Linked DNA regions of Cricetulus griseus. The protein of the gene in region 2 purifies or fractionates together with the protein of the main gene of each other region. This does not show direct contact. Links are inferred from orthologs where the notes say so. Each region holds a gene or a part of one and is shown on either strand. Other genes may lie near its edges. The genes, in order: Eif3a and Eif4b.

What was found.
Region 1: the proteins of Eif4b (region 2) and Eif3a purify together in Homo sapiens (co-immunoprecipitation; 3 studies listed by BioGRID and IntAct, with this or other methods). This does not show direct contact. The link is inferred for Cricetulus griseus from reciprocal best matches to the Homo sapiens genes EIF4B and EIF3A.

The regions. Positions count from the first base shown.
Region 1 is NC_048596.1:531,214-547,190, forward strand, and holds part of Eif3a (eukaryotic translation initiation factor 3 subunit A), read left to right. Parts: intron 1-5,740; coding exon 5,741-5,931; intron 5,932-6,074; coding exon 6,075-6,211; intron 6,212-6,902; coding exon 6,903-7,066; intron 7,067-8,789; coding exon 8,790-8,989; intron 8,990-10,362; coding exon 10,363-10,571; intron 10,572-12,321; coding exon 12,322-12,493; intron 12,494-13,698; coding exon 13,699-13,803; intron 13,804-13,909; exon of another isoform or gene 13,910-14,038; intron 14,039-14,174; coding exon 14,175-14,273; intron 14,274-14,981; exon of another isoform or gene 14,982-15,113; intron 15,114-15,430; coding exon 15,431-15,547; intron 15,548-15,725; coding exon 15,726-15,911; intron 15,912-15,977. UniProt on the Homo sapiens protein: RNA-binding component of the eukaryotic translation initiation factor 3 (eIF-3) complex, which is required for several steps in the initiation of protein synthesis.
Region 2 is NC_048595.1:398,489,505-398,504,409, reverse strand, and holds the end of Eif4b (eukaryotic translation initiation factor 4B), read right to left. Parts: intron 13,278-14,905; coding exon 13,049-13,277; intron 12,334-13,048; coding exon 12,221-12,333; intron 11,090-12,220; coding exon 10,876-11,089; coding exon of another isoform or gene 10,872-10,875; intron 10,355-10,871; coding exon 10,299-10,354; intron 8,956-10,298; coding exon 8,777-8,955; intron 8,431-8,776; coding exon 8,350-8,430; 3' UTR 6,383-8,349; downstream 1-6,382. Other genes in the region: Tns2 (tensin-2), read right to left, coding at 2,717-2,791. UniProt on the Homo sapiens protein: Required for the binding of mRNA to ribosomes. Functions in close association with EIF4-F and EIF4-A. Binds near the 5'-terminal cap of mRNA in presence of EIF-4F and ATP.

The DNA.
Region 1 (15,977 bases), on a different chromosome or scaffold from region 2:
AATCCCACAACTGAGTAGTAACATTATATCTTAGATACTTAATCTGTTGTATAGATTAGTGAAAAATGAAGGATTAATGTGAGCCTTTTCTTTGTTGGCACACATGTTCAGTCATGTCCTAAAGATTCTATACTTTGGAATAATTCTGGATTTCAGTTTCTAGAATCTTAATCTTGGAATCATTTAAGAGTTGAAATAATTTCTAACCTCAAAAGCCTTCCCACCCCATTAACTAGGCAATTGCAAGGAGCTAAGTCTCCATGCTTGTGAGTTAGGATGACTCAATCATCAATCATCGTGGAGAGTTTGTTCCAATTTCAGCCTTTTGTTTAAAAACATTTATTCCCCACCCCCCATTTTTCTTATTTCGGGGTTGAGGGGTGGTAAGGATGTCCATCCATAATTATGTGTTTTGAGACAGGGTCTCTTACAGAAACCTGGCTGCATAAGAATCCACCTGAATGCTGGGGTTAATTTAAAGGCATGCTCCATCACATCCCGTAAAATGTTTTATATGTAAGTGTGCTTCCTTTATAGTTTGAGACTTTCAGACTTAGAAAGGATGAGTTTATTTTTGTAGGGTTTTTGAGTGCCAGTCTCATTAGGTAGCACAGGTTGTCCTCATACTTGATCCTTCTGCTTCAATCTCCTTCAGTGCTAATGATAGAGATTTGGTTATATCTCAGGAAGCTTCTAAGGATGACATTAAGAAGCCACTCTGACAACCAACAGTAACTACAGTTGACAGGGATCTGTTCTCTTCTGACATACAAAAGCATGCATGTGGGGCACATGAAAGTAAAACACTCATACACATAAAATAATAAAACAACTAGTATTTTTTAAAAAGTAAAGAAACCACAGTCCCATAAGAAATACATATTGGGAAAGTGGATTATTTATTTATTTTTTATTTTTTTGGTTTTTGAGACAGGGTTTCTCTGTGGCTTTGGAGGCTGTCCTGGAACTATCTCTTATAGGCCAGGCTGGTCTCGAACTCACAGAGATCCACCTGCCTCTGCCTCCCGAGTGCTGGGATTAAAGGCGTGCACCACCAACGCCCGGAGGGAAAGTGGATTATTATATTTCCAGTGTTTTATATTTTATTTTATCAGGGTTCAGTTCTCAACTTGATTTGTATTTCGTATTGCAAACATTAAATAAGAGCTTGAAAATTTAAATCTTTAAGTTGGGGGTTGGGTATATGGGCATAATATGTTATTTTAATGTTGCTTTAATGTTACAATTTTTATTTCATTTTATTTTATATGTATGGGTGTTTTGCCTGCATGCATGACTATGCACTCACTGTGTGCAAGTAGTGCCCTACTTGAAGTCAGCAGAGGGTGTCGGGAAGAATATTGAATCACCTGGAACTGGAGTTAAAGATGATGTGAGCTTCCATGTAGGTGCTGGAAATAGAACCCAGGTCCTTGAAGAGTAGCCAGTGCTCTAAACTGCTGAGCCGTCTCTCCAGCCCTGCTGTTATGGCTAAATTCATTTACTAATAAGTTTTTTTGCTGATATGAATTTTGGTTAAATTGATTTGAAAAACACCTAAAGTAACATGGAAAGCAACCTTAGGCACATTTCAGGAAGAGGATAGTACTTAAAACAAGACTTTTTGGTTCCAATATCATATCTGGCTGTAAGTGCTTGTTTCATATGGTAAGATTTTGGGGTGGCTCTGTGACTGAAATGAAGATGGTCTTTTCCCACATAATGTTGAGTTTGTATTTGTTTGCAAGTGAGTACCATTTGATACTATAAGGGGTGGAGCTAGGGTTGTGTTTTTTGCCTGGCATACCAGAGGTGAGGCCCTAGGTTTGGGCTCCAGCCAGAGGGAAAAATTGCTGGTATGAGGACTTAGAATATTTTATAAAGATGCTTAGTTTTTGATATATTGTGTGGTTTGTTCAGGTATGAACTTAGTATGTTTGAGAGCCAGAGCAGTATTGTTTCACTAGAAGACTGGGAAGCACCATTCCTGAAACCTTAGTCATTAAACTTGTAGATCTGGTAAGCTCCCAACTAAGGAGCTTTTTTTTGGCCTTCTGAGTGCATGAGTATTTTACTTGTATGTGTGTGTACCTGTGTGTCTGGTGTCCATGGAGTTCAGCAGAGAGGATATCAGATCCCCTGGGATGGAGTTACAGATGGTTTTGAGCCAGCATGTGGATCCTGGGATCAGAAGCAACAAGTGTTTGTTTTAAAGCATTGACCATTGACCACCTACCCCACCAGCCTCAATGCTAACCATTAAAAAAAAAAAAAAGGTACTGAAGATCAACCCTACCCCAGGGCTTCTAACAGTCTTGCTTTAAGGCAGAACATCCCCAAATTCAGATTAATTCAGAAAAAAGAATTGTTTGCTCAAGGTTATTTTTGTTTCTTTAAGGAGTGGTAGAGACAGGGTTTTACTGTGTAGCCCAAGCTGTCCTGGTCAAACTCAGAAGTCCACCTGCCTCAGCTTGGTATTAAAGGTATGGGCCACTGCCCCTGGCCCCAAGACTATTCTTTAGTAGGAAAATAAACACTTTGTTTTAAAATGGAGATGTCGTAAAGCCAGTGTTTTAGCTCCTTCAAATTATGTGTGTTTTTTTCTCTGTTTCTGAGACAGTTTCTCTGTCTTTGGAGGCTGTCCTGGAACTAGCTTTTGTAGATCAGACTGGTCTCGAGCTCACAGAGATGTACCTGCCTCTGCTTCTGCCTCCCAAATGCTGGACTAAAGGCATGTGCCACCACCACCATGCTTCAGATTATGTTTTAAACATTCAAGTGGAAACTTTTTGTGTTTGGAATTCAGCATTTATCTTTTTGGTTTTTGCAGCAGCCTCCCAAAGTGCTAGGATTATAGGCATAAACCATCACTCCTGGCTTAATTACTAAATTAAAAATGAACTTAACCAGTTGACTACATTAAATATTTTCTACTATTTGTGTGAAGGGGGAAAAGGACAAAATATACATTTTTAATCTAGAGCCCACTTCTGTTGACTGAATTTGAAAAGGTACTATATACATAAAATTTAAGACAGCAACTGGATTTGTATGTTACTACACATAATGCCTTCAAGCTCATAAAGTCACATTACTTTGCCCTGTAGTCTATAGTTTAAAAAATAACCTTAATTTAAATTCATTAAAGTTTTTAGTTTCACTGAATCATTTAAAGAGGTCATACAGAATTTTCACCATACCCAATTTCCATGAATGAATATTCTAAAACAGTAAAGTATATCTATCACTCATAACTAAGGAGCCAGTAACTGAAGTTAGTTTTGTTTTGTTTTAGACCTAAGATCTTACTTTGTAGCATTGGAATTCACTAAGTAGACCAGACCAGACGCCAGCTCACAGATAGATCTTCCTGCCACTGCCTTCTGGGTGCTGGGAGCAAAAGCATGCACCAGCACCCCTGCCTAGAAATAGACTTTTTTGTTTTTTGAGACAGGGTTTCTCTGTTGGACAGTCCTGATTGTCCTGGCACTAGCTCTGTAGACCAGGCTGGCCTCAAACTCCCAGAGATCCGCCATCCCCAGAGATCCGCCATCCTCTGCCTCCCGAGTACTGGGACTAAAGGCATGTGCCACCACCATTGCCAGGGCCTCGATTGAGATTATTAAGTAAAGTTTTTACTTTTTTTTCCAATTACCTTTTGCCCTAGGATCCTATCCACATACTACATTACATTTAATTGTCATGTCTTAGTTGTCAGTGTCTTAGACTTTTTGAGAAGTACTCCAGTGTCTTGTAGAATGTCCTTTATTTTATTCTGTGGGCGCTATTGTAATGAGATACCACTTCACCAATCAATACCAAGAATTTATTTCTCTCATTTCTGGTGTCTGAAAAGTCCATAATAAATAAAACTAGCAGGTTCAGTATCTGGTGAGAGCTGGCTGTTTGCCCTTTACTGTTCCAGGGGGAGATAAATGTGGTCCTTACCTGATGAAATAGAACAAAAAGGAAGCTATCTAGAAAGCTACTTGTTGCATTTAGAGGGTGGAACCCTTTGATCCAATCACCTCTTTAAAGATCAACTTTTTTTTGTTTGTTTGTTTTTTGTTTTTCAAGACCGGGTTTCTCTGTGTAGCTTTGGAGCTTATCCTGGGGCTCACTCAGTAGACCAGGCTGGGTTCGAACTCAGATCCACCTGCCTCTGCCTCCCAAGTGCTGGGATTAAAGGCGTGCGCCACCAACTCCAGGCAAAGACCAATTCTTTTTTTTTTTTTTTTTTTTAAGATTTTATTTATTATGTGTACAACATTCTGCTTCCATGGATATCTGCACACCAGAAGAGGGCACCAGATCTCATTGTAGATGGTTGTGAGCCACCATGTGGTTGCTGGGAATTGAACTCAGTATCTCTGGAAGAGCAGTCAGTGCTCTTAACCTCTGAGCCATCTCTCTAGCCCAAAGACCAATTCTTAATAAAGCATTCCATTAGTTAGTATGTATCAATCTGAAGTTTGGGAGGACACTTGAATTTAGACCATTGAATCCTAATTGGTGTTTCTTTTGCTAATTGTTGAGAAGTTTCTTTTGGTTTTATTTATTTTTTCATGTTTTTTGAGACAGGATTTCTCCATGTAACTCTGGCTGTCCTGGAATTTAGAGAGCCACCTGCACCTGTCTTGTGGAGTGCTGGGATTAATGGCATGTGCTGCTAAGCACAGCAGCTCCTTTTTCTTTTTTTTTTTTAAGTTTACTTTTGAGCTGGGCTACATAGAAAGACCCTATCTCTCAAAAGAAAAAGGTGTGTGTGTGTAAAATGCTGGAAGAGCCAGAAGAAAGCTGAAAGTTACAGGCTGTTGTGAGCTGCCTATGTGTGTGCTAGGACTTAGGTTCTGTGCAAGAACTGGACATTCTTCATCCTCTCCAGACCCATGAACCCCTTCTTTCAGTCCCTTTCTTGTTTTTTTGGTTTGCTATGTAAGTCCATTTACATGATAGGAGTAGGTGAACTGTCAAATCTTCAAACTTACATCTATAACTATTCAATATAATCCCAAACAAAACCTTTGCAATCTATTTTGTAATCATTTGTAAATTTTGTATGGAAAGGCTCAGACCTATGTTGGATCAGAGATACCAAAGGACAAAGTTGCATCACTTACTGTCCAATTCCAAGACTTCACTAGATTGCCTTAAGAATGAACTCAATTAAATGGTGCCAAATGAAAAAAAAAATGTTGCCAACTGGTCTTAAAGTAGATATTTAAGCAATCTGCTGTTTTTTTTACTTCTTCATATCAAATATATGTGATAAAGTCATACTTAGACTTTCAGTTACTGGGGGAGATATTCCCCAATCCAAGACTTCAGTTTCTGGAATTTTAAAATCACTGAGTTCTACATGGACATTATATCTTGAGATAATACTGATTTTTTTTGTCATATGTTGGATGATTGTGGGATTCCTGCTAGAAGCCAAACGTGCTTAAATTAAATTACTAAGGAGGCAAGATTTAGATTTTAAAATCTTACTTTATCTGTTGTTTATTTATTTGTGCAAGTTAAGGGAACCTGCACATTCTTTGTGCATGTGGAGGTCAGAACAGTTTTCAAGAGTGGGTTCTCTGCTAACATAGGGGTCTAAAGATAAAACTCAAGAGGATCAGGGTTGCAGCAAGGGCCTTTACCTATTGTGTCACTTCCTTGGTTCTATCATTTAGATTTTTATGTAGTATGTACAACTAACTTTAATTCTCAATTCCTCTCCCCCCTTCCCCCCCAGAATTTCTTGAGGTTGGCAAAAAGCAACCTGCCCTGGATGTTCTTTATGATGTTATGAAAAGTAAGAAACACAGAACATGGCAAAAGATACATGAGCCGATTATGTTGAAATACTTGGAACTGTGTGTGGATCTTCGTAAGAGCCACTTGGCTAAGGAAGGTTTATATCAATATAAGAACATTTGTCAGCAGGTACTGTGCTCATTTTTATATTTTTAAAGTGCTTAGTAACTTTTAGAGGAATTTACCTTTCAAATTAAATTTTATATCTTGATTTGCTTTTAAACATTATTTTAGTTCTTTGGAGAAAAATAAATTCTTTTTCCTTCCTGTAGGTAAACATTAAATCTTTAGAAGATGTTGTTAGGGCATACTTGAAATTAGCAGAGGAAAAAACTGAAGCTGCTAAAGAAGAATCCCAACAAATGGTGTTAGATATAGAAGATCTAGATAATATTCAGACGCCTGAGAGGTATGTGAATTTAATCCCTTAGTAAATATTTTGGTTATTTACACTGTTTTTTCTTTTCCTTTTGCTTTTTTCCGAGACAGGGTTTCTCTGTGTAGTCCTGATTGTACTAGAATGCACTCTGTAGACCAGGCTGGCGTCACTCGTCCTCTTATCTCTGCCTCTCAAGTGCTGGGATTAAAGGTGTATACCACCACCACACAGCAGTGTTTTTCCTTATATGAGCCATCATCACCCCCCCACACACACATACTTGGAAGGTAGATGATTGATTATCAGAAGCAAACTGCTTATCTTTGTATACTTCACCAACCATGTCAGCAATATTTAAAATTTACACTTAGGGTAGAACATGCATTAAAAGTTTTTTTGGGGGGGTGGAGGAGTGTTTTGGAGACAGGGTTTCTCTGTGACTTTGGAGGTGTCCTAGAACCAGCTCTGGCAGACCAGGCTGGTCTCAACTCAAAGAGATCTGCCTGCCTCTGCCTCCTGAGTGCCAGGGAGTCTGCCACCACCACCTTGCCATGCACTAAAATTTAAACTGTTGTAATACAGACTGAAAATTCAGATACAGATGGTAAGGGATAGCTTGACAGTATATATGAGGTTGTGGGAAGAATTTGTCATTGTTGGTTTGGGCTTTCAGATCACAATAAAAATACCTGAATTGTTTTCAATGCATTTTTCTTTGTAGTGTTCTCCTAAGTGCAGTAAGTGGGGAAGACACTCAGGATCGTACTGACAGATTGCTACTGACTCCCTGGGTCAAGTTCCTATGGGAATCATACAGGCAGTGTTTGGACCTTCTTCGAAACAATTCTAGAGTAGAGCGCCTTTACCATGATATCGCCCAGCAAGGTAAAATGACAATATAAAATGTTAATACACTGATTTGAAAAGATGACTTTAGATATTTGTAGATAAACCTTCTGTTCTCTGTAGTTTTTAAAAATAACTAGTTTTATCCTTAGTGAAATGAAATTGACCTTTTTTACATAAATAGCTGAAAAATAGATTTATCTTACGGGTTAATACATTTTCATATGGAATTGTTCTACTGACTTTTGAAGCCCCCTCCTGCTTTTTTAAAGTTAAGCACACATTGATAGGCTTCATATGGTATATTTTCATGTTATTATAGTTCATTCTTGATCATCACTCTCCTGCCAATTCCCTGACTTCTCTTTGTTGACACTTCCCCCCCATCACCCTCCTTTACCCTCTTTTCTACTTGGATAACCTTATACCCTTGGGACAATTTCTCTGTAGTCCTGGCTGTCCTGGAATTCATTCTGAAGGTGGCCTTGAACTCAGGTCTGCTTGCTCTCTTGCTTCCTGAGTTCTGGGATTAAAGGCATACACCACTGTGCCCACCATATTTCTATTCCTAAGCAGTATTGCTTAGTATTGATGTCATGAATCACTTCATACTTGGTTGCCTTTCATCACATACTCTGAAGGACTAGATTACAGGCACCCATCCCCCACACCTAGCTCAGAATTTCTTTATGTGTTGTTAACTTTCTGCTATGACTGTTTTAGTAGGAATATTAGTACCAGTGTTTATTTGCATATGTAACATACGTCTATATCATGTCTCACAAGCAAACTTGTAATATTTGGTAAAAAACTGAGTTGGGGTTAAATCATATTGCTTGTTTTTGGTCTTTTGAAATAGAAAGGTTTGTTTGTTTATTTTGAGACAGGGTTTCTCTGTATAACCTGATTGTCCTGGAACTTGCTCAGTAGACAAGGCTGTCCTCGAACTCAGAGATACACCTGCCTCTGCCTCCCAGATGCTGGGATCAGAGGCGTGTGCCACCACCACTCAGTGAAATACAGTTTGTTTATAAGAGCAAAGATGTTCCAAAAAGTACTCTGATACTGCATAGATGTGAATTTTAATGATGCAGCCAGTAATTACCCATTCTTCTGTTTCTGTATTTGAAATTAGGTAAATCCTTATATCACAGTTTTCATTAGTACAAAAGCATGTTGCATTATTTGTACATTAGATATGTAAGCTCATTGTATTTCATCCTAGCAATTAAAACTGTTCTTTTAGGTCTTTGAATGTAACTCCTAGACTTAATTTATTTTGAAAATTTTTTTTTGTGTATGGATACTTTGACTTTATTTATGTCTATATACCATGTGCATGCCTGGTGCTTACAGAAGCCAGAAGAGGGCCCTGGATTCCCTAGAACTGGAGTTACAGCTGGCCCTGAGCTGCCATGTGGGTATAGGGAATCTAACTTGAGTCCTTGTATAGCCAGATGTTGGCCATATCTTTCCAGCTCCCGACTCTTTTCCTAAATTTAAGTTCTATTTGTTTCGTATTTGTAAATTTCCAGAACCATGTATTGGGCCAGGACTTATGACCGTGTCTTTTTATTTTGCTCAGGATTCAGAGTGTTGGCAGGTTCATGGAGGGAATTAAGACTGACTCTCATTACATAGAGTAATTGTGAGCTTAGTGAATCTTGTTAAAATTGGTCTTAATATGTGGCATATAAAAACCTAACTTAGATATTCAAGTGACAGAAAATATCTAATTCTTGTTTGACAATTATGCTTACAGCTTTCAAATTCTGCCTCCAGTATACTCGAAAGGCTGAGTTCCGCAAGCTCTGTGACAACTTGCGAATGCATTTATCTCAGATTCAGCGCCACCATAACCAAAGCACAGCAATTAATCTTAATAATCCAGAGAGCCAGTCCATGCATTTGGAGACCAGACTTGTTCAGTTGGACAGTGCTATCAGCATGGAACTATGGCAGGCAAGTTAACTATTTGCTTTGTACCACCTTGTATTGGTATTACTGGTTAATTTCAGTAGGTACTGTGAGAATTTAAGGTTGTCTGATGACAGTAGGAATTTAATCACTTGCTAAATCTGGACTTAATCATGTAGTCTTTTCCTTCTATGCAAAAACAAAACAAGTAAAAAAAACAGCCCCCCAAATCCTGCTCACAATGTGGTTCTATGATTGGTACCATTCTGAGTTGGGTAGTGTGATGAGAGAAGTATGGAGAAAAAATATTTAAAGATGGAGATGTTTTTGTTGTTGCTGGTGTTGTTTCCTTGCCTCATTTTGTTTGGTTTTGGTGCCAGGAATTAGGACCTGTCTGTATGTGCTGATCCCAAACCCAGGGCCTTGTCATTACTTGGTAGCCAGTACTTTAATGGGCTAACTCTCTAGCCCCCTGGTGCTGGTGGTTAAACCATAGCCTTTCAAATGGTAAGCATGTGCAATACCACTGATTACATCTAGTTTCTACAAAGACTGTTGATAGCAGTTTCCTCATAATTTTGTGTTAATCTGATAATACATTGTAGCTTTATTGTACTTTATGAGCATTTATTGATGATTAGAAGTTAAAAAACACACTTACTTTTTCTGTATTTGGAGAAGTGCTGGTTTAGTACCATGCATGGTGTATGCTGCATTTTAGTGATGGCAGTAATGATGAAAAGCTTCCTGGCCCTTTCTCCCCTTCTTAGGATATAGTCACATCATTTTGTGACTTTAACATACATGAAGGTGTTTTTATTTATTTAACATAAAAGAGCCAATTGAAATTACAAGGGATTAAACTAAACAAATCAGTTTTTAGTTAAAATGTGATTTAACTAAAAGTTAAACTAAAAGTTAAAAGTAAAGATGTGATTCTCCTGCCTCCCAGCACTTGGTAGGCAGAGGCATGTGGATCTCTGAGTGCGAGACCAGCCTGGTCTACAAGAGCTAGTTCCAGTATAGCCTCCAAAGTCACAGAGAAACCTTGTCTCAAAAAAAAAAAAATGTGATTGAGTTTTCTGTTCTTGCCCAAAGTACTTTTCCTTTTTTATAGGGACACCAATCTTAAATTACTACTTGGAGAGGACAAGCAAACTTGATGTATTAAGGAAAATATTCTAGGACAGCCAAGGTTGCACAGAGAAGCCCTGTCTTGAAAAAAAAAACAAAAAAAAAAACCAAAACGATATTTCAAAGATAGCGTTTTGTATTTATAACAGTTTCTCAGATTTACCAGACAGAAATAGAATCCATATTAGGCATTTTATTTTCTATTTTTATTTATATGTTTTAATTTCATAAAAGTGATTTGTATTTGATCTTTTTTAATGAAGTGATTAACTTGTACATTTTAGGAAGCCTTCAAAGCTGTGGAAGATATTCATGGGCTGTTTTCCTTGTCTAAAAAACCACCTAAGCCTCAGCTGATGGCAAATTACTATAACAAAGTCTCAACAGTGTTTTGGAAATCTGGAAATGCTCTGTTTCATGCATCTACACTTCATCGTCTTTATCATCTGTCTAGGGAAATGAGAAAGAATCTTACACAAGATGAGATGCAAAGGTAAGAATGTTATAGTTGCATGGTAATGAGATTAAACGTAAGTGGTAGTGTGGTCTAAGCATGGTATCTTAGCTTCTGGACGTTTTGGATTGGCTAATACTGTTGTGTGTTGCTAGTGCTTGGTAGGCTGTTTAGTAGTATTCCTAGACTCTACTCCTGAGGGGTCAGGAGCAAACTCTGATTGTGACTACCAAGTGTCTCTGAGACATTGCTCTCCTTGGAGAGTATTCTTGAGCCATCTTCTACTTCTGCCCCGAGAAAAACTGCCACCGGAAACCCAATTGAGAACATGTGTGTTCACAGAGATAATACTAACATGTGAACCTATCCATATATTGGTATATTCTTTTCTTAGAGCAGTTGGATAATTAGGTAATTACATCAAGCTCCTTTTCCCCCCCTTGATTATAAAACAGTAACTAGTATAAAGCACTTGCCTTGTGTTAGTTTATATCCTGGTAAACCTACTATAAGTTGAAAATGTGTTAAGTAAGGAGGTATTACACTGACCTACTTACTATCAACAGTGTGGGTAGTATGTGCTAGGAGAGGAAGGAGGTCTGTTTACTCTTAGGATTGCATGGCTGACTAGGAGCTGTGTATCATTTATTGCTGCTGCATGCTTTTCCAAGAATACTACACACTTTATGTCACTAGCTTGGGACAAGATTAATTCTTTTGTATTACGGTAAAAAATATGGGTAAAACCTTCATGTTTCTTAACATGTGAATCATAAAATGGGGACTATTTGTGTGCACCTTGCAGACTATTAAAATCAAAGTATAGGTTGAATGTGGTGGCACATACCTCTTAGCACATGGGCTGAGGTAGAAGGACCAAACGTTCAACATTAGGCTAGCTTAAACTACCTAGTAAGATCGCTTCCCACAAGAAGAATCCACACAAGACCCTATTACATATATATAGCGTGTTTCTTTTCACTTGCTTTCTTTTTTATTTTTTGTCAAGCTAGAAATTGAATCCATTGCCTCGCACAAGATAGGCAGTTCACAGGTCACCTTTCCTTGTTAGTAAACTGGCTTTTTTTCTTTTAAAGATTTATTTATTTATTATGTATACAGTGTTCTGTCTATATGCATGCATGCCAGAAGAGGACACCAGATCTCATTACAGATGTCTGTGAGCCACCATGTGGTTGCTGGGATTTGAACTCAGGACTTCTGGAAGAGCAGCCAGTGCTCTTAACCTCTGAGCCATCTCTCCAGCCCTAAACTGACTTCTTTTTAAAATATATGTATCTATTTTTCTTACTTTTGTGGAAGAATAGGAAATCAACCAAATGGGTTTCCTTAAGGGAGTTAGTTAATACTTGTAATATTGGTTAGTGTCAGGTCTTTTTGTCCTGTATATGTTATTAAGACTCCTGGGTACCTTTGCTACTTAGCATTCTAAATTGTAGACTTTCTTGTGTTTCAGGAAAGTAAAAAAAAAAAAAAATTTATCCTTTTCTCTGTCATAATTGTGTTTACTTAAAGTCCATTTTCTTAGTTTCCAGAGCTACCTTTAATTATTTTGGTAAGGACATTTGTCTTCACTGCTGTTGGGCCACATTTAGTGTGTTGATATGAGATTGAGTTTACAAGGATTCACTTCCTCAAGGTTCAGTGATCTAATACTGTGTTGTGCTGGAATAATTAGTATGCTACGTATATTCTGTCAATGGCATACAATAGATAATCAAAAGAAGCACATTTCTAATCTTAAAAAATAAAACTTTGTTCACCACAGAATGTCCACTAGAGTCCTTTTGGCGACTCTTTCCATACCTATTACTCCTGAGCGAACAGACATTGCTCGGCTCTTAGACATGGATGGTATTATAGTTGAGAAGCAGCGACGCCTTGCAACACTGCTAGGTCTTCAAGCCCCACCCACACGAATCGGCCTTATTAATGATATGGTTAGTATAAATCTGAGCATTTTTTTGAGGAGAAAACTTTGTGGTAAGTTTTAATTGATGATTACATACTGGAAATTCAGATTCATTGTCAGGCTTCTGATGTGTGGACAAGGAACCACTGATGAAATGGATATCTTGTTCATTTGAGGAGACTCATTAAAGCAGTGAGTGGTTCAGGGTATGTGATGAGTTAGGTATGGCTTGCTTTCTCTCTCTCTCTCTCTCTCTCTCTCTCTCTCTCTCTCTCTGAGACAGGGTTTCTCTGTGGCTTTGGAGGCTGTACTAGAACTAGCTCTTGTAGACCAGGCTGGTCTTCTGCCTGCCTCTGCCTCCCGAGTACCGAGTGCTGGGACTAAAGGCGTGCACCACCACTACCCGGCCTTAGGTATGGTTTTCAGTTACACCTGGTTCAGAACATTGTTTCAGATCCCAGTGGACATCAAAACCCACTGGTAAGCTGAAGTAGGGTAGTGGTTGTATTTGCACATAATCTATGCATAACCCCCAGTTAGATTGAAATAATCTCTGAAAAACATTTGCCATGTTGTTTAGTTGATAAGAAGAAAGCATTTCAGACATATGTAATATTTTTTGAATATTATCTAAATATGAGTGTGTATGTGGAACCTGATGATACAGGGGACCAGAGCTGTTAAATGGACATAATACTGTTCTGTTAAGGGACCAAACTATTCTCAGTTTGGTCCTGAGAATAGAACTGTCCTGGTAATTTTTGTGGTACTTCATATAAGAAAAATTTGTTGTCAGGCTATGGTGGCACACTCCTTTAATCCCAGCAGTTGGGAGGCAGAAGCAGGTGGATCCCTGAGTTCAAGGCCAGCCTGGTCTACAGAGCAGGTAGACAGTCAGTAGAGAGGACAGCTATAACTATACCGAGAAACCCTATCTCAAAACCACCCCCCCAAAATATTTAAAAAGCTCTGTTATTTTGCATTTTTGGATATATAATTTGTGCTGTCCATTGTAATTGTCTTTGTAAATACTGTATGTTGCCTTACAGATTATTCTCTTTTCAAGTTTATTTGGCTTGTTAATTATAGCTAGAAACAATATGGAATAATTATAGTATTTGGTAAATTTATAGGGAACTGAGTTCAGATACATTTCTAATTTTAATTTGTACTTCAGAATCTCTGCTGGAAAATTTCCTTTAGCTGTTAAACTTTTTGCCTTTCTTATTATAGGTCAGATTCAATGTGCTGCAGTATGTTGTCCCAGAAGTGAAAGACCTTTACAACTGGCTGGAAGTAGAATTCAACCCTCTAAAACTCTGTGAGAGAGTCACAAAGGTAAGCCTTGGCATGGGCAGGTTTTGTTCTTTACCACATGGTAGGCATTACTGCAGTTGAGCATTGTATTTGTCTAAAGAAGAAGTGTTCCCCTATGTGTTGAGAAGTGCACATTTGATTGTCTTTTTTCTTCCCATCAAGATAAAAGATATTTCTGATGTGCTAAACAAACTTTTGAGGGTAAATTAGCAGCATGACTACTGTTGCCACTGCTGTCAGTCACCTTCAGACAAGCATAGATAGTGTCTGGATGAATTTTGTTTCTTTATATTACATTCTGTTTTGTGTATGTATTAAGTAGTTGAAAGAATGTGAGCCGTTTGTCTGCTACATATAAACTATTTTTTTTCTCAATTCAATTGGTTTTATAGGTATTAAATTGGGTTAGAGAACAACCTGAAAAGGAACCAGAATTGCAACAATATGTACCACAGCTACAGAACAATACCATACTCCGCCTTCTGCAACAGGTAAAATGCAAGCACATGCTTTATGGAGAAACTTGAGATTTCTGCTCTTGACTCTGTATCACTGTAGCAAGTATTTGTGTGTGCATGATAGTATGTGCGTGTGTTTGTGTGTGTGTGTGTGTGTGTATGTATGTATGTATGTATGTATGTATGTATGTGCGTGCGCGCTTTGTACATGTGTGCACAAGTATGTGAAGGCTAGAGGTAGCCATCGTCTATCCTGTTAATGTGTTTCTCAATCTTATATTTTGAGATTGTCACTGATCCTGAACCTCACAAATAGCTAGACTGGCTGGCTCTGGGAATCTTCCCTCCCACCCCTTACTCTTTATTTTGATAACAAAACTGGGAAAAATTCTAATTTCTTAAGAGAAAGCCAGTTTCCACTCCTGCCCAAATGTCCCTATTTGTAATTTTGAAACAGAATCAATGACTTAACTGTACTTCCTTCCCTGCTTTTCTTTCTTTGCCAAATACTGAGTTTTCCTTAGGTACTGGGTTGTCTTTGACCTCAGCCCCCCTCCCTCCCATAGGGTCTCACTGTTTGCTCTGGCTACTCTGAAACTCGATATGTAGACCAGGCTGGCTTTGAAATCACAGAGATTGGCCTACTTCTGCCTTCCAAATGCTAAGATTAAAGGTGTGCATCACTGTGCCTGTTGCTGAGTTTTCCTATTTTCATTTACTGAGGGAGTGTTAATGATGTGTTTGCACATTTCATTGACCTGCTTTCTTTTGAATATGTGAGCAGTGTTATTTCTTATGTGCTATATAAATACTTGAAGGTTAATTAGCAGAGTAACTGTATATAGTAATGCTGCCAGTCTCCTTCAGACAAAAAAATAAAGATTAGAAATATTTATATTAGGTAAGTAGTAGGCCTTTACCTATTATAAATATGTGGCCATTTAGGTTTCTGATTTATGAAACAGAATTCAGAAGATGGTTATGCATAATGATAGCATATGATTTGGAGCCTTGGATTGAAATTCCAGTTCCAATAATATGCTGCTATGCTGATTTGTATGAACTTCAGTTTTTTCCCCTTTCTAAACAATGAGCATAATTTCTGCTTCCTCTAGCTGCCATGAAATTGAACGTTAAAAAATGTGACTAAATAGTAGCTGTTATTATCAACCCTGTGTTTTTTTGTGCAGGTGGCACAGATTTATCAGAGCATTGAATTTTCTCGTTTGACTTCTCTGGTTCCTTTTGTTGATGCTTTCCAACTGGAACGGGCCATAGTAGATGCAGCCAGGCACTGTGACCTGCAGGTATGTGCTATAAGTGGGCACTGGTGGCAGGTTAGAAGGTCTTTGAGAACTAGAAAGACCTTTAAAAAACTCTATTAAGCAAATTCTCATTACTTTTCTATTAACTTTGGATTGATAATTTCCTTCTCAAATGGAGTTGTAAATATAGACTTGGTTCCTGATAATTTAATTTTCTAAGGTTCGTATTGATCATACTTCTCGGACTCTGAGTTTTGGATCAGACTTGAATTATGCAACTCGAGAAGATGCCCCAATTGGTCCTCATCTGCAAAGCATGCCATCAGAACAAATAAGAAATCAACTCACAGCTATGTCCTCAGTACTTGCAAAAGCACTTGAAGTCATCAAGCCTGCTCACATTCTGGTATGTGTCTTGAAGGGTATGAGCTACAAAAGTTTTGAGGGACTTATATTTTTCGTAATATTGTTT
Region 2 (14,905 bases):
ATCCTGGCCCTCCCCCCTTGTCCACACCTCCACCCTGCCCCACCTTTGCCCAGCTGGTGGGCACTCCTACCCTGCTGGTGGCCCGGCTGCTGTCCCTCCCCAGGGCTCTGAGCAACCTTTCCATAGGGCCGCTGGACTTCATGGTGTCTGGCTGGCTGGGTCTTGGCTGCAGGGCCTGAACAATGCTGGGGCCTGGCCTGGGGCTTCCTGGAAGCAGCCTGGCCGAGGCAGCCGCTTCCCTTGGGTGGAGGGGAGGCTGTCTGGCTGGTGTGTGGAGAAGCCTGGCCCTGGAAGTGAAGGGAAGTGCAGGCGGGAAGGGGGCAGGTCGCTGCTCCAGGAAGTGGGGTGGGGGAGGATGTGGGGGAGGCCAGGAGATCAGATTCCCAGGATCTACCCCTGCTGGGAGTGTCAGCCCAAGATCTTTGGCTCTCCCCTTCTCCTCTGGAGCTGCCTCTCACCCGGTGGGCCACCCTGTGTAGGGGTCTGTGGTCTTGAGATCCAGCCCTGGAATCAGTCAGTGGGGCAGGGTGGGAATTCAGGTCTCAGGGCTGGGCTTGAGGGCCAGAGAAGAACACTGTGTCCCCAGCCAGTCTCTAGCCTGGACTCTTAAGTTCCCTTGGGACTTCCTGTGGGAAGGGAGTGGAGCTGGGAACCAGTACCCCTGGCAGGCTAGGACTCAGACTACTTAGGGTGAAAGAAGTAGGAATGAGGGCCAGCTTCCTTGTCAGATGGGGAAGATCATGCAGTACCCTCCTCAAGGCCAAGCACCAGCCAGAAGCCCAGCTGCCCACAGTAGTGAGTGGTCCAGAGCAACCCAGGGCCCTGGAAAGGTTCCACCTGAAGACCCCAGCTACTGTGCTCCAGATAAAACCCACAGTTCCTGGCTTAGTCCCCCTGTATCTGGGACCCCACCCACCCACCCATTCAAACCTGAGCACTACCTTCATGGCTCTTCTGGGCCTGGCTCTTCTTCATCTGTGGCTGTCACTGGACCTGAGGACTGGACAGGAGGCCCCCTCCCAACACATTCTCCACCCCCTCTAGGGCCTCCTGCTTCCCTCCTGGGAATAGGGCCAACTTCCTGTCCCAGGAGTCAAGGAAGGAGGTGGATAGGGCCTTGGAAACGATAGAACAATCTTCCTAAAACAAGGGTCAATGGCCTGGGGGTTCTCGGCTCAAGCCCTGGACAGCAGCCTTTGGAATGCTGTAGCTGTCACTTGAAAGAATGTACAATCTTGTCGTCCTCATTTGCATGGTATTTACTGAATGTCCCAGTGCAACTCCTCCGGTTCTGGCTACATTCACAGGGTTCCACAGGAGTTCCCTCCTCTGCCTCCTGTTCATCCAGGTGAAGGGCTGCTCTACTCCTCCCTGGTTCACCTTAGAAAGACCATCAGACTGGGAAGCCTGAGCCTTCTTCCTGCATGCTCCAATTCTCTAGGAAGCCTGTCACCTGTGTACCCTGGCTAGAGGGTGGCACCTGAGTGGCAAGGTGTGGCCCCCCATACTGTAACTGGAGAGGGCCACTGGCTCTGTAATCCCTACCCAAGTCCTGGCTGTGTCCCAGGACATTCCAGGCCAATGGCCAGGTGGGCAACTGGGCCTGGCCTGATTCAGCACCCAGCCCTGCTGGGGGAGATGGGTCACTGTAGGGCCTGTGTGAGTGTGGCTCCCCCCATCCAGTGTTTTCCCTCTGCATCTATGGCACATAGCCTTACTTCTGCTGTCTCCTTGTGGGACTGAAAGTCCCCTCCTCTGTGAAAAGTCCCCAGACATCCTCTGGCCACATTGAACTTTCACTGCCTGCCCGCACAGACCTAGAAAAGTGTCCATTCAAATGACTGCAATTGGCTGGTCAAGAGCTATGAGTGTCCCCACCACGGGGAGTGAAGTACTTCTGGAAGGATCCTGAAGGCTGGCTGAGGTGGCGTTACCAGATCCCGTAGATCTTCGCTTCCCACCTCCTGCCTGGAATATTCCAGAGCTTTTTTTTTTCTTCCCCCCAGCAGGGCCCCCTCTTACTCTGAAGCCTTGGGTTTGTTTGGAGAAACCCCTCCACCCACCCACACACCCCTCCTTCCTGGAAATAGCTGTGGTTGGATGAGAAGCTGGGAGCCGGGCCACAGAGGAGTGAGGCCCAGGAAAGAAGGGAGGGGAAGAGAGGTAGGATTCTGGGATGTATCCAGAGAGACCTAGGGGGTGTCTAGGCAGGGCAGAAGTAGACTAGGGCTGTTAGGAGGGATCAGCTTCATCTGTGCCTGCATTGTGCCTCAGTGTCCCAGATAGGGAACATGAGAAGAAAACGCTTGCATACTCTCTGCCAGGCCAGGGCCGAAACACTGCGGCCAGCTACCGCGGGCATCTTGTGCTCAAAAAGTGTGTTTGTCGTTTGAGCTGGGGATGCACGCAGGGAGCAGCCGACCCTCCAGTAGTGCGCAGTAGGACGCGGAAGGCGGGGCGGCCTGAGCTAGGACCACAGCCGTGCCCCGCCCCCTGGTCACCTCTAGGATCTCAAACTGCCCCCTAGCTCACCGCGACCGACCGGGAGGGCGCTGGCGGCAGGCAGTCCCAGCCTCCGGGATCCCGCCGCGCTCGGTGTTCCGGGACCCCGGTGGCTCCGCGCCCCCTGGCGCCCGCCCCTGGCTCGCACCTCGCGCTGTGACGCAGAGGGCCGCCGCCCGCGCTCCCGCTCGCTTGGCGTGGCGGGGCCACTCACCTGTGGGGGGCGCCCGGAGGGCTGGGGGCGCGGCGGACCGGGGCAGCAGCAGGGGGCGCCCCCGGGCCAGCCCATCCCGGCCAGGCCAGCCGCACCGCGACACGCGGAGACAGCGGCAGCTGCGGGACGGGCATTCAGCTGGCTCCCTCCCTCTGCGCCCCGCCACCTCCTCCCGCCCTCCGGCTCCCTCCTTCTTCCCCGGGCTCCAATCGCCACCTTCCACCCGCTCCCCGCCCGCGCCGCCTCCTTTTTCCCTCCTCTCCTCCCACTGTCCTTCCCGCGAACGGCTCGGCGCGCAGAGGCAGGCTCGAAGGCCGAGCTGGCAGCCTGAGCCGGGGAGGGACCGCACGTGGGAAGGCAGCCCCAGGGAGCCTCAGACCGAGAGGCTGCGGAGGGACACGGGCGGAGAGAAACGCGTGAGCCGCACAGACTCCTCAAAAGAAGGTGGACACAGATCCAGAAGGGTACACAGAACAGCTGCGAGGCCTTGGCATCTCGGCGGCCACTTTAGTGCGGGATCTATTCTGAACCATGCCTGACCTGGTGGGGGCGCCAGATGTACTGGTGTCCCGGGTCTTAGGACACCACTTCCTGGTGTTCTCCCCCACTGGAACTTTTCTGTGTCTCTTCTCCCAGAAGACTCACAGCTGAGGACCCACACAAGGTTCAAAGCTCCCACCCCTCAACGGCTTTAGTAATCGCCCCTGTGTTCCTGGGGCTTACCAATGCAAGTTCTTTTGGTGGTGTCATCGCATTCCTTTTTTTTTTTTACTTTTTGTTTTATTTATTATGTATTTTATTTATTATTTTTTGTCTGCATATATCCCTGCACACCAGAAGAGGGCACCAAGTCTCATAACGGATGGTTGTGAGCCACCATGTGGATGCTGGGAATTGGACTCAGGACCTCCGGAACAGCAGCCAGCGCTCTTAACCTCTGAGCCATCTCTCCAGCCCCTCATTCCTTTTTAAAAGTCTGATATTGGAAAAGAACGCCTGAAATTAAACTGATGGGCCATGGTGCTAGTTTGAGTTGTGACAGTGGGAAGGGACAGTGGAGGGTAGGGAATGTGTGGTCCTAGAGTCTTTGAACCTATGGGCGTCCCAGTTCCCAGCATTCTTTAACAGATCCTATTACCTTCCTTCCACACTGGAATTTCCTTAAGTTGGTGAGCCAGAGGATCTCCATGCTGAGAAGTGGGAAGTGCCTAGAGTTAACTGTCGAGTAGGTTCCCAAAGCAGTCCAGCAGGGCCTGCTCAAGCCCTCTGGGTCTGCCTGCTGGCCTGCCCCATCTCAGCAGGGTTCTGTGCTCATCATGTCTCTGGCAAAGGCTGGGTTTGGCGGTTTGGTTCTGATTCCTGGGGAATGGAGCACCTGATTCTAATCTGGCAGCTGGGAAGAGCTGAAAGCATGGATCTTGCTGTCCAGTGGGCACTTTACAGCAGCCGGACTCCTGGGGGACTAGAGGGAGAGCTGGAGAAGTGATGGGGAGGGAATGGTTGCACTGGCAATGGAGAGAGAGAAGCACAAGTTAGAAGACAGTGACAGGGATTGGAGGCTGATGGGAAAGGGCAAGGCTGAAGGTCCTGCTGTGGCAAGATTATATTGTGTAATTAATAAAGAATATGAAAATATATTATTTGATGTCAGCAGCCAGCTCTTTTAACATCCAGCCCTTTCCAGAATGCTCTGGGCTTTGGTTGGAACTCGCTTTGTAGACCAGGCTGGCCTCAAACTCGATCGCCTCTGCCTCCCTGCTGGGATCAAAGGCATGGACCACCTCAGCAGGTTGGCCATAGGTTACAATTTCTGAAATCACCAGAGTGAGCCACATTGATTGGATCTCAAAGGTGGGTGGGACTAGAACTTCACACCATGCCCAAAGGGCTACTAAGAGGAACCTGAAAGGTTCCTAAGAATTGGAAGGGGAAGAGAGGAGTCACAAGATGGGTAGCTGAATCCTCTCAGCTCAAGCTCACTACTTTCCAGGCACCAATTGAGGGAAGGAAATGTAAAGCAGGATGCTTGGTGGGGATAGGATCAAAGTGAGTGGCTTGGGGAGGCAGCCAGACATTGTGATTGCTACCACGCCACAAAGCTGTAGGGAGGAGAGGGGGAGAGCCAGGCCACTATGGATAAAGGTGTTCACCCACTTACCTCCCTTCATGGCAAATATTCTTACCTTGACTATACAGAAAGAGATCCATCTCAGTACTGAAGGAAGAACCCCCTTTTCCACAGTCTGAGACCTCATGCCCATGACTGATGCATTCAGTTTCTTAGGGTGTGTCTTGAGAGTATGGGGCTGTCCTGGCTGAAAGAACACTGAGTCAAGGAAATTTTGGTGGTTGGTCTGGGCTCTAGGAACCAGGAAGGAGTAGTATGGGGTAAGGGACAGAGCCAACTCCAGAGGCGGATCTCCCTGGAGGACAGAGCAAGCATTGTCCAACCAGGAGGTGGCTGCAGCTGGGCGGGGATAGCATTTTCTTCCAAACTTCTTTTTGTGGGGGCAGGAAAGCAAGTCCCCCTTCACTTGTAGCCTTGGGGGCTATAATGGTTGCTGAGAAACGAAGCTTATTTGTCAAATGTTGCTACCGAGAAGCAGATGTGATCAATCAGTTCCTGAGACTTGTGAGTTAGTGAAGCATTTGAGGTGATACTGTTCGCATGAACCCGGGCCTTCATATATATACTTGGATTCCAGAGCACAGTGCCCGGTTCTGATAGGAGAAAGCAAGTCTATGTGGCCTGTTGTGTCCCCAGCCTAGACTCAAGTCTGTCAAGTGAATATCCTGTTTGCATTCTGCTAGCTGACATGGGCAGACGGGAAGCTAGGTCTTCTAAAGACTGGTTGCTCCCAGTTGGTTGGCTACTAGGCCTAGACTAGCTTCTGGGGTGAAGCCTGGGAAACCTCTTTCTTGCCACACTGAAAAGCTCTCAGCACAGCCACTCACGGATCCCTTCCAAACTCTTGCCAGTTTTGGACTTGTTAGAAAATAGAAATGGGAGGTGGTGTCACACATCTCTAGTTCTAGTACTCAGGAGGCAGAGGCAGGAGGATGTACATGAGTTTGAGGCCAGCTTCATACTGTCCTGAGTTTCAGGACAGCCAAGGCTACACAGAGAAACTCTGTCTCAAAACACCAAACCAAACACAAAAAGGACAAAACAAAAACGAGGAAAGTAGCTGTCTCTAATGGCACACAGCCTGTGCTGCATCATTCTTGGATACAGTACCTCAAATGTGTTCCAATTCCTTGTGACTATCAGTTCTGTCTCTGCCCTAACCCTTTTCCCTGCTTTTCAGCAAAGACCACTTTTGTTTGGAAAGCTTAAAATCCAGGTATCTCATGAAGAACAGTGGTTTCAGTACTGCCGCTCCACAGCAGCTGTGCAGTCTGTGGATGGCACCACTTGACCTCACGGATAGCTGGGAGTGAATTTAAAGAGGCATGGGTTGCACCTGTCACATCCACATTCAGGTGTTAACCCTGATCAGAAATGCTGGAGGATGAAGTTGAATAAGGTCCCCAATCTTGGGCTTTGTGCACTGCTTTGTGCCATGCAGTAACTCATCCTCTGCTATGCAGACTGAGGGATTAGAGATTTGGAAGAGAGGTGGAACAATAAAAACACAGGGAGCATGCAAAAACCGCAGCATTAACTTCAACTTTAAAGACTGGGTTTATTTGGAGAAAAACAAAAAACCCTCAACCCAAAGGATGGGATTTTACATCTCAAGACATCTCCCAAGTAATGTCTACAGATTACAAATCATTTTCATAGAAGATAGTTTTGTACAAATTTTACATGTATTCAGGAGCGGGACATAAGTCAACCCCTGTTTTTATTTTAACAGAGGAGCAAAGTAGGAGAGCATGGGACAGAACAGCTTTCTTCTGGATGCAACTATCTGGAAGGGAAATAGACATGAAGAGGGCTATCTACCTTTTCATTGTCTACAACCAAAGGTTTAAAAAAAAACCCCATTCAATGGTGGGTCTCTCTAAAGGCCCGCTTCCTAGCTACTAGCCAATCAAGTCCACTGGATGAGCGACTTGCTATGCCCACTGCTGCAGCCCATGAAACCAACGCTCCTGCAGAGCAGGTCTAGGGTTTGCACATTAAGACCAGGTCTCACTTGCCTGCAGGTACCCCGATGTCCCACAACAGGGAAGCTTGCTGTCAAGGTGCAGATCAAAGCAGACAGGTCAAGCTACTGTACTCAAGAGAAGCCAGACCTTATTCAATAGTTCTCTACATCATCCTTTATTCTTGAAGGAAATCAAGAAACCACCCCCCCTAAGCAGAAAAGCACAGTCTAGGTCACATTACAAACCCAAGCACCAGCATAGGGTTCCCATGAAGGAAACAAATAGAAATCTTAAACACCCCAATCAAGGCTGAAGACCTTTAACTCAACTCTCTCCATTCACCACCCAAGCCCATCAATTGAAATACTCTGACCTCCAAAGGGGGTGAAGGCAGCAGGAGCAGGAATTAAAGATACCACAGAGCTGGATTGCTTGACAAAAGCAGTGATTCCACAAGGCCACAGCTTCTGGTGGCCAAGATAAAAAAGAAAAAGAAAAGAAAAGGAAAAAAAAAAAAAAAAAAAGGAAAAGGAAAAAAAGAAAAAAGAGAGAGAGAGAAAAAAAAAGGTCTGTGAGAGCAGGTGTGTGACTTAGAGAGACTGCTTTTGGAAGGCTGACAGTGTCATCAAGAACATGAGATGACCAGTGACAAAGTTTGGAAAGAATGTGGATATATTCGAACCTTTAGAAAGGACAGATTTTAGAAGACTGGAATTTCCCACGACCGCTAAGTGCTTCCTCATCCAGGAAATGATTGTTCTATTCATGTGTCTATTGGAGGTCACAGCATTTCCCTTACTACCTGGTATAAAATAACTGATCATTCCCTCAAAACTTTTCAAACCACGATTGAGTTTCCCATTCATTTTGGTCCCCAGAGGTACTACTTGTTAGTGGCCTGTAGACTCACTCCCAACTACCCCCTTGGGGGGTAAAAAATTAAAATTAAAAAACAAAACAAAACAAAAAAAAAAAACCCAAAACACAACTCCCCTAGGCTGGCCCCAGCTAAGTCTGAATTGAAGTAGAAGGGCTGGCAGCCTCCTGGAGACTAAAATAACTTGAGAGACTAGATCTACCTGGCCAACGGTGGGAAATGTACTCAGATGATGTTTGGGAATTTGTAGGTGCCACCACAGGACAACAATTAAAAGGTAGAACTCTCACTCTTCCTTGTACCTTTCTCTACTGCCTAACTGATGCAACCGAGTCTCACTGTCACTACATTTCTGCTGAATGGAGCCCCAGGCACTAGTCACAAAGGTAACCACTTCTATCATCAGAACACATCACAACTTCCCCATTCAAAAGTGATAGCCACATCTCTCTGGCTACAATGGTGATTCTCCAGTTACTTCAATACTTTAAAAGGCTGCAGCAGCATGCAAAACAATTTCATTTCATTAAAAAAAAAAAAAAAAAGTTAAGAAAGGTCTTCAGGAGATGGTGAGCTTTATTTTTTCTTGTCTGGATAGAGGTTTGATTTGCTCTTGAATCTTCCGGGGTGGAGACTAGAAGAAAGCACAGCATGTGGAGGTCTACTCAGCGTGGTCATCTCCCTCATTCTCATCTTCACCATCCACAGAGAGAGCAGCATACTTGCTTGCAGAACTGAACTTCTATAATAGATGAGAGGGACAAAGTAATAAAGTCTGAGATTTTCCTAGAAGCAGAAGTTAATGCTTTGGCATAGGGGACATGAATTCATCTAGGGGTAGCATGTTCCACCGAAGCAATCAGGGAGGGCCAGGGTCACAAGTCAGCTCACCAGCAATACACATCCTTTCCACTTTGCAAGTGTGTAAGAGCTCAGAAGGGTTGACTCATCAACAAAAAGCCCATCTTAGCTTTTCTCATTAACTTGAAAAAAACACCACTGCCTCATTTCCAACTTCTCCAGTCTCAAGAAAAAAGGAGTCTGCAAAACTGAGCTATGAGAAGTGGATGCAAGCACACAACACTTACAGAGGCTGGGTTCTCCTCAGATTTCTTTGGCTCAGGTGCAGATCTGGAGTCTTGATCTTTTTTGCCATCTTTCCTGTCCAACCCCTTCCAGTGGTCTTTGTTTGCTCCATCTCCAGGGCCACGACTTGGGAACCCAGTTTGGCCTTTTGGGACATTTACCCCATCTATTTTATTTTCATCTGTTTAAGCAGAAACACAAAAACCAAATTCAAGTCACATAAAGTAACCTATTTCCTTGTACTAGATTTTCTTTTAAGCCGAAGAAAACATGTACTAAGGGAAATTAACTCCATTCCAGGCCTTTCTTCCCAAGTTCCTATACCACCCAGGCATACCAAACAAGACATATTAAAAAGTCTCACTGTAGTAAATGTCACCCGGAAAAGCAATATAGAAATAAAGACCAGAAGCCAGGTGGTGGTAGTAGTGCAGGCCTTTAATCCCAGCACTGGTTAGACAGAGATAGGCAGATCTCTCAGTTTGATGCCAGCATGGTCTTTGGAGTAAGTTATAGGACAGCCAGGGCTACACAGATAAACTCTTATCTCAAAAAACAAAAACCCCAAACAAACAGCAAACCCCTCTTCCAGGAAAGAAAGAGAAAAAGGGACTAGATTGTTCTGTAGTGACCTTGGCTGGTTAATGGTGACATTTCTCACCTGGACAGACATAGTTATTCCTGTCCAATTTCCCCACCAAGGCAAGGTTTACCAGGAAAGCCAGCTTCTGACACTCTTTGAAGAGCCCATTCCTGCCCTCTATTGGCAAGGAAAGGTAGCTCATCAAAAGAACATCACAAAACAGGGCATAAAAGTTCAAATTTCTTGACTGAAGGTTGACAGGGGGAGGGAAGACATTTTGAATAGTGTGGCCACTGGTAAGGTGCCAGAACTTTTGTAATCCTCAATAAAGCCCACTAGGCAACTCCCCCACAAAAGTCATAAAAGTAGAATAGAGGCTAGCTGGGGAAGAGGGATTGGCAGGAAGGAGACAAGAGAAGCTAACAGGGCAGCAGTAATGATAGGATTAAAATACATCATATACATGCATGAACTTGTTGTCTTCATGAGACACAAATACTGCAGCTTTCAGCAAAAAAAAAATAATAATAATAATATTTTTTTCTTTTTTTCTTGCTCATGCCTTTAATCCCAGCACTTTGAGGCAGAAGCAGGTACATCTCTGAGAGTTTGAGACCAGCTTGGTCTACAGAATGAGTTCCAGTTCCAAGATTACATACCTTTATCTTGAAAATCAAAAACAAATTTATTTGGTCAAGGTGTTTAATTCAGGAATTTTTTTAAGAGTTGTTTTTATTTTATGAGTATTGCCTGCATATTTGTGCCCCACCTATGTCTGGTGCTTGTGGAGGGCAAAGAGGCATCAAATGCCTTAAAGAAACTGGAGATATGAATGGTTGTGAGCCACCATATATGCTGGTGCTGGGAACTGATTTTGTAGCTCTTGGATGTGTTTGTATCCAAGGCTTTACACAGATCAAAACCTACTTCCCTTGGCTCACCTTTTCTTGATGGTCCGTCCTCAGAGGGCTGAGCTGGAGCTACTTTCCCTCCACCACTAGAATGGAGCAAGCAATCAACCATCAGTTTTTACAAGAAAGACAACACAAGCTTATACCATTTCCAGAATGCAGTGGGTTGCCTTTATAGAAATACACAAGAGCCTGCATGTTGAACACTGCAATATTTAAGTATAGGAAAAGACAATGAAAGCAGTCACTTCCACACTCAACTGCCATATGCTTTGGAATTTATAACCCAGCAAGGCAATAGTAGTTTTCTCTTTGCAAAAACTGAGAAAAGTTAAGAGAATCTTAAGTCACTTAAATGATATGACCCTCCAAGGTTACACTAACAGTATATCTCAGGACAAAACCCAATAGACATGTCTACAATTTCTGTGGTATAAATGCGCCCATCATAGCTGATTTCAACCCATCAAAACGATGCCAACTGGCTAACAAAAATGAAAAAAACACACTGCTATGAGACACCTCAGTATGAATTATACATACTACAAAGGCCAAGACCCCTCAGGGCACCTTCCAGCTAAGCAGCTGCTGTTGCAGGCCTACTCACCTTGTAGGGGACTGCTGCTCTGTGTCTGAGCTCTGAGATCGAGCAGGAGGGTTAGAGCTTCGCTTCACCCACGCATTCTCCTTTGGCGGAGGGGCTGGCATTACCTTTAGAGGCTGATCAGGTTTAGAAGGTTTGGAGGTTGGAGAGTGACAGTCTTCTTCTTTATTGAGGGTTTCATTTTCTAGAGACTTCTCACTCTCTCTCCTTCGTGTATCTGGGGGATGGGGGGAGACTCACTGTATATACACTGTATAGCATTTACCTGAACTGCAACAGCATAGAAAATGACGTACCACCACATTAATTCCATCAGTACAGACTGATTTGGCTAATAGTTATAATTACACAAAAACCAACCATGTTCTCTGGGAAGAAAAGGGAAAAATCTACCTATGTAAGAGACAACTGCCTTCACACAGGAACAAAGATCAAAAACACTTGTATTTGCACAAAAAGTTTTCTGGAACTGTGGAGCCTGATTTTACAGAGGTGCCTCCTACATTTGAAGTACAAACACTACCAAAGTGGCCACACAGAGCAATACCACACTTATCCCAGCCACAAGGACCACTACGTTATGTTACTGGACCACTCCAATGTAAAACATTCCCAGAAAACTCTTAAAACACTTGGCTCAATTTACAAAGCACCTTGGCGGTAGAAGAGCTTAGGCAACAGTGGGTCACAGTATAGGGAAATGGGTGCTGTGATGAAATACTAGCTATGCTTGTGAGTGAACAATCTCAGGAAGAATGATGTTCTATCCCTCAAGGACACTGCTTTGAGGCTACCTAAATAACACCATCAAACAATGTCACCCCCAAGAAGAGCTTGTGAATGCCAATGCTATGGTGGCTCTAAAAACAAACAGACTAACAAACAAAAACCCAACATACACTGTCGAGATAGAAAATAGGGGCTGGCAAGATGGCTCAGCAGGTGTGGCAACTTCTCACCAAGACCTGCTAATAACTGAATTCAGCCAATGCCCAGGACCACGCAGGGTGAAGAGACAGACTTCTGCAGGTTTTCCTCTGGCTTCAAGGCATGGCATGAATATCCACCTCTCCACAAAATACATGTTAAAAAACAAGATAGTCTAACAGTCAAGTATTCTCTTTAGAGACAGATAATTAACAGAACATTGAAGTCTATTCTGGTACCTGTTCTCAGGCTTTTGGAGGAGAGATGTGAAAACCTATCAACCCTTGCTGAAGGCCCTGGTCTACTCGACAAATGTCAGGATACCCAAGACGATGTAGAGACTTTGTCTGAAGACTGAATCTACAAACACTGCAAAGTCCCTGCATACTCTGGTTATGGAAACAGCAATACTGATACCCACCCTGGTCTGACTTACTTCTGCCAGATGTGGCTGAGGTCCCAGTCTGAGATGACTCACTTCCTGTCCTCGACCGTTCTCTTTCCTGAGTTTCTTCACTTCGCCAACTTGGGTGTCTGCACACAGGAGATTAAAAACGACAGAAAAATGGTGTTCAGTTCACTAAAGGCCATCATGAACCTCACACAAACTGTTTATTACAAAAATTAACAGCTACAAGATGGACGCTGTTGGTGCACCCTTTGAATCCCAGCATTTGGGAGGCAGAGGCAAGCGGATTTCTGAGTTTGAGACCACCCTGGTCTACAGGGCGGAGTTCCAGGACAGGTTACAAAGCTACAGAATAACCCTGTCTTGAAAAACAAACCAACCCGAGGCTGGAGAGATGGCACAGAGGTTAAGAGCACTGACTGTTCTTCCAGAGGTCCTGAGTTCAATTCCTGGCAACCACATGGTGGCTCACAATCACCTTGAATGAGATCTGGTACCCTCTGCTGGCATGCAGGCAGAAGATTGTATACATAATAAATAAATAAAATCTTAAAAAAGAAAAACCAACCAAAAAAAATTTGATAAACCCATTTTACAAAAAACAGGCAGGATTTATTTACTTCTGTATCAAAGTGCCACCAATTTCTATTTATGGCAAGTGTGGCAAAACTTTTGAAAACTCCAAGGAATGAAGTCTTTAGTGTGTGACACTGTCCCAAACTCTGGAGACCGCTTCACCCTGCTCAAAACACTTCTCAGTGAGTGATACCAGCCATCACTCCCATCCCCAAAATGCCTCCACTCAGCAGCAGGGATGAAACCACTATCAAGACACCTTACCTCTCACGTGGCCGGCGGTCTAGTTTTGGCTCATCCAGCTGCCTTTGCAATTTCTCTTGCTCCTTCTGTAGCCGCTCTTCTACTTCTCTTTCTCTAGCAGCTGTGTCAACAGGCTTTGCCCCTCCAAAGATAGAAGCCGCTCGACTGGACTGGGAGGTGCTAGCAGAGGAATCATCTTCCTTAGGAGTACTCCGAGGCTTTAGATTCAGTTTGGGTCTTTGGGGGGGACCTAAGTTAAATGAAACTCTAAGTAACAGTTTCCAAATAATCAGGTGAATGCCAAAAGCCAGACTCCAGACACAGCTCTCATGATCTTGTTCAAGGATCTGGTCTGGAAAATGAGCATCTTCAACAGGTTCAAAAGACTTTGTAGAGCCAGGCAGTGGTGGTGCACGCCTTTAGTCCCAGCACTGGGGAGACAGAGGCAGGCGGACCTCTATGAGTTTGAGACCAGCCTGGTCTACAAGAGCTAATTCCAGGACAGCCTCCAAAGCCACAGAGAAACCCTGTCTTGAATACCCCAAAAGAAAAAAGACCTTGTAGCAATGACAGGGAGGGAGGGAGGGGAGGGAGGGAAGGAGGGATGAGGGAGAGAGAGAGAGAGAGAGAGAGAGAGAGAGAGAGAGAGAGAGAGAGAGAGAGAGAATTGTGAGAATGAGAAGGAGAGAACACGAATGTGAAGGCCAGAGAGTGCCAAAGGATCTCCTTGTACACTCAATCACCCCATTATAGATACAGGTGAACATACCCAACTCACCATTTTTTAAATGACATGTGCTGGAAATGTGAACTCAGACTAATTACCCATATAGCAGGCACTTTACAGACAAGGGACTATCTTCTTATATTTTTGTATGAAATTCTAAGTAGGCCAATTTCTTATTAATCTTTCTACATTATCAGAGTACTTTCACAATAAACCTAAAATTGGTTTCAGCCTTAGTGCAGAAAACTGATATGAAAGGTACTGTGACTAGAGAGGAAGCCTGTGTGTATACCACTGGGTTTAAGTGATGAAAGAATACACGCCATGCCCACCTGCACTGCCTTCTCACAATAAAATGCTAAGTTTGGTCTTCTGTATTACGTGGGTGCATGTATTGAAACAGTGTATTATTTGGCTTTTGTGTGTGCATCCCTCACACGCACAGATGTCAACCTTAGGACACTCATTTCTTAAGCACTGCCCACCTTTTCTGAACAGGGTCTGAGTGACCCAGAGCTTGCTTGATTAAGGTAGGATGGCTATCCAGTGAGTTCTAGGAATTAGCCTGTCTCTTTTTCAAGCTATGCATATTTATTTATTTATTTATTTATTTATTTATTTATTTATTTATTTAATTTGGTTTTTCAAGACAGGGTTTCTCTGTGTAGCTTTGGAGCCTATCCTGGCACTTGCTCTGGAGACCAGGCTGGCCCCGAACTCACAGAGATCCACCTGCCTCTGCCTCCCGAGTGCTGGGATTAAAGGCGTGTGCCACCAACGCCCGGCATGTAAATTCTGTTTTAAAGTTATGTATTTTATATGTAGTGTTTTGCCTTCATGTATATGAAGCACACGTGTCTGGTGCCTTCTGAGGTCACAAGTGAACAACAGATCCCCTGGAACTGGAGTTTTGGTGGTTGTAAGCCACCATGTGGGTGTTGAGAACTGAATCTAGCTCCTCTACAAGAACACCAAGTGTTCTTAATGTTCACCAGCTCTTCCAGCCCCTTGACAAGTTTCTTACATGGTGTTGGCACAGAACTCAGTTCCTACTGCTTGCATAGCAACACAGTCTCATGAACCATCTCCAGACCTTCTATGAGAGACATAAGACAACAGTTTCTACAACTGCCCAAACTTGTCAAGGAGCA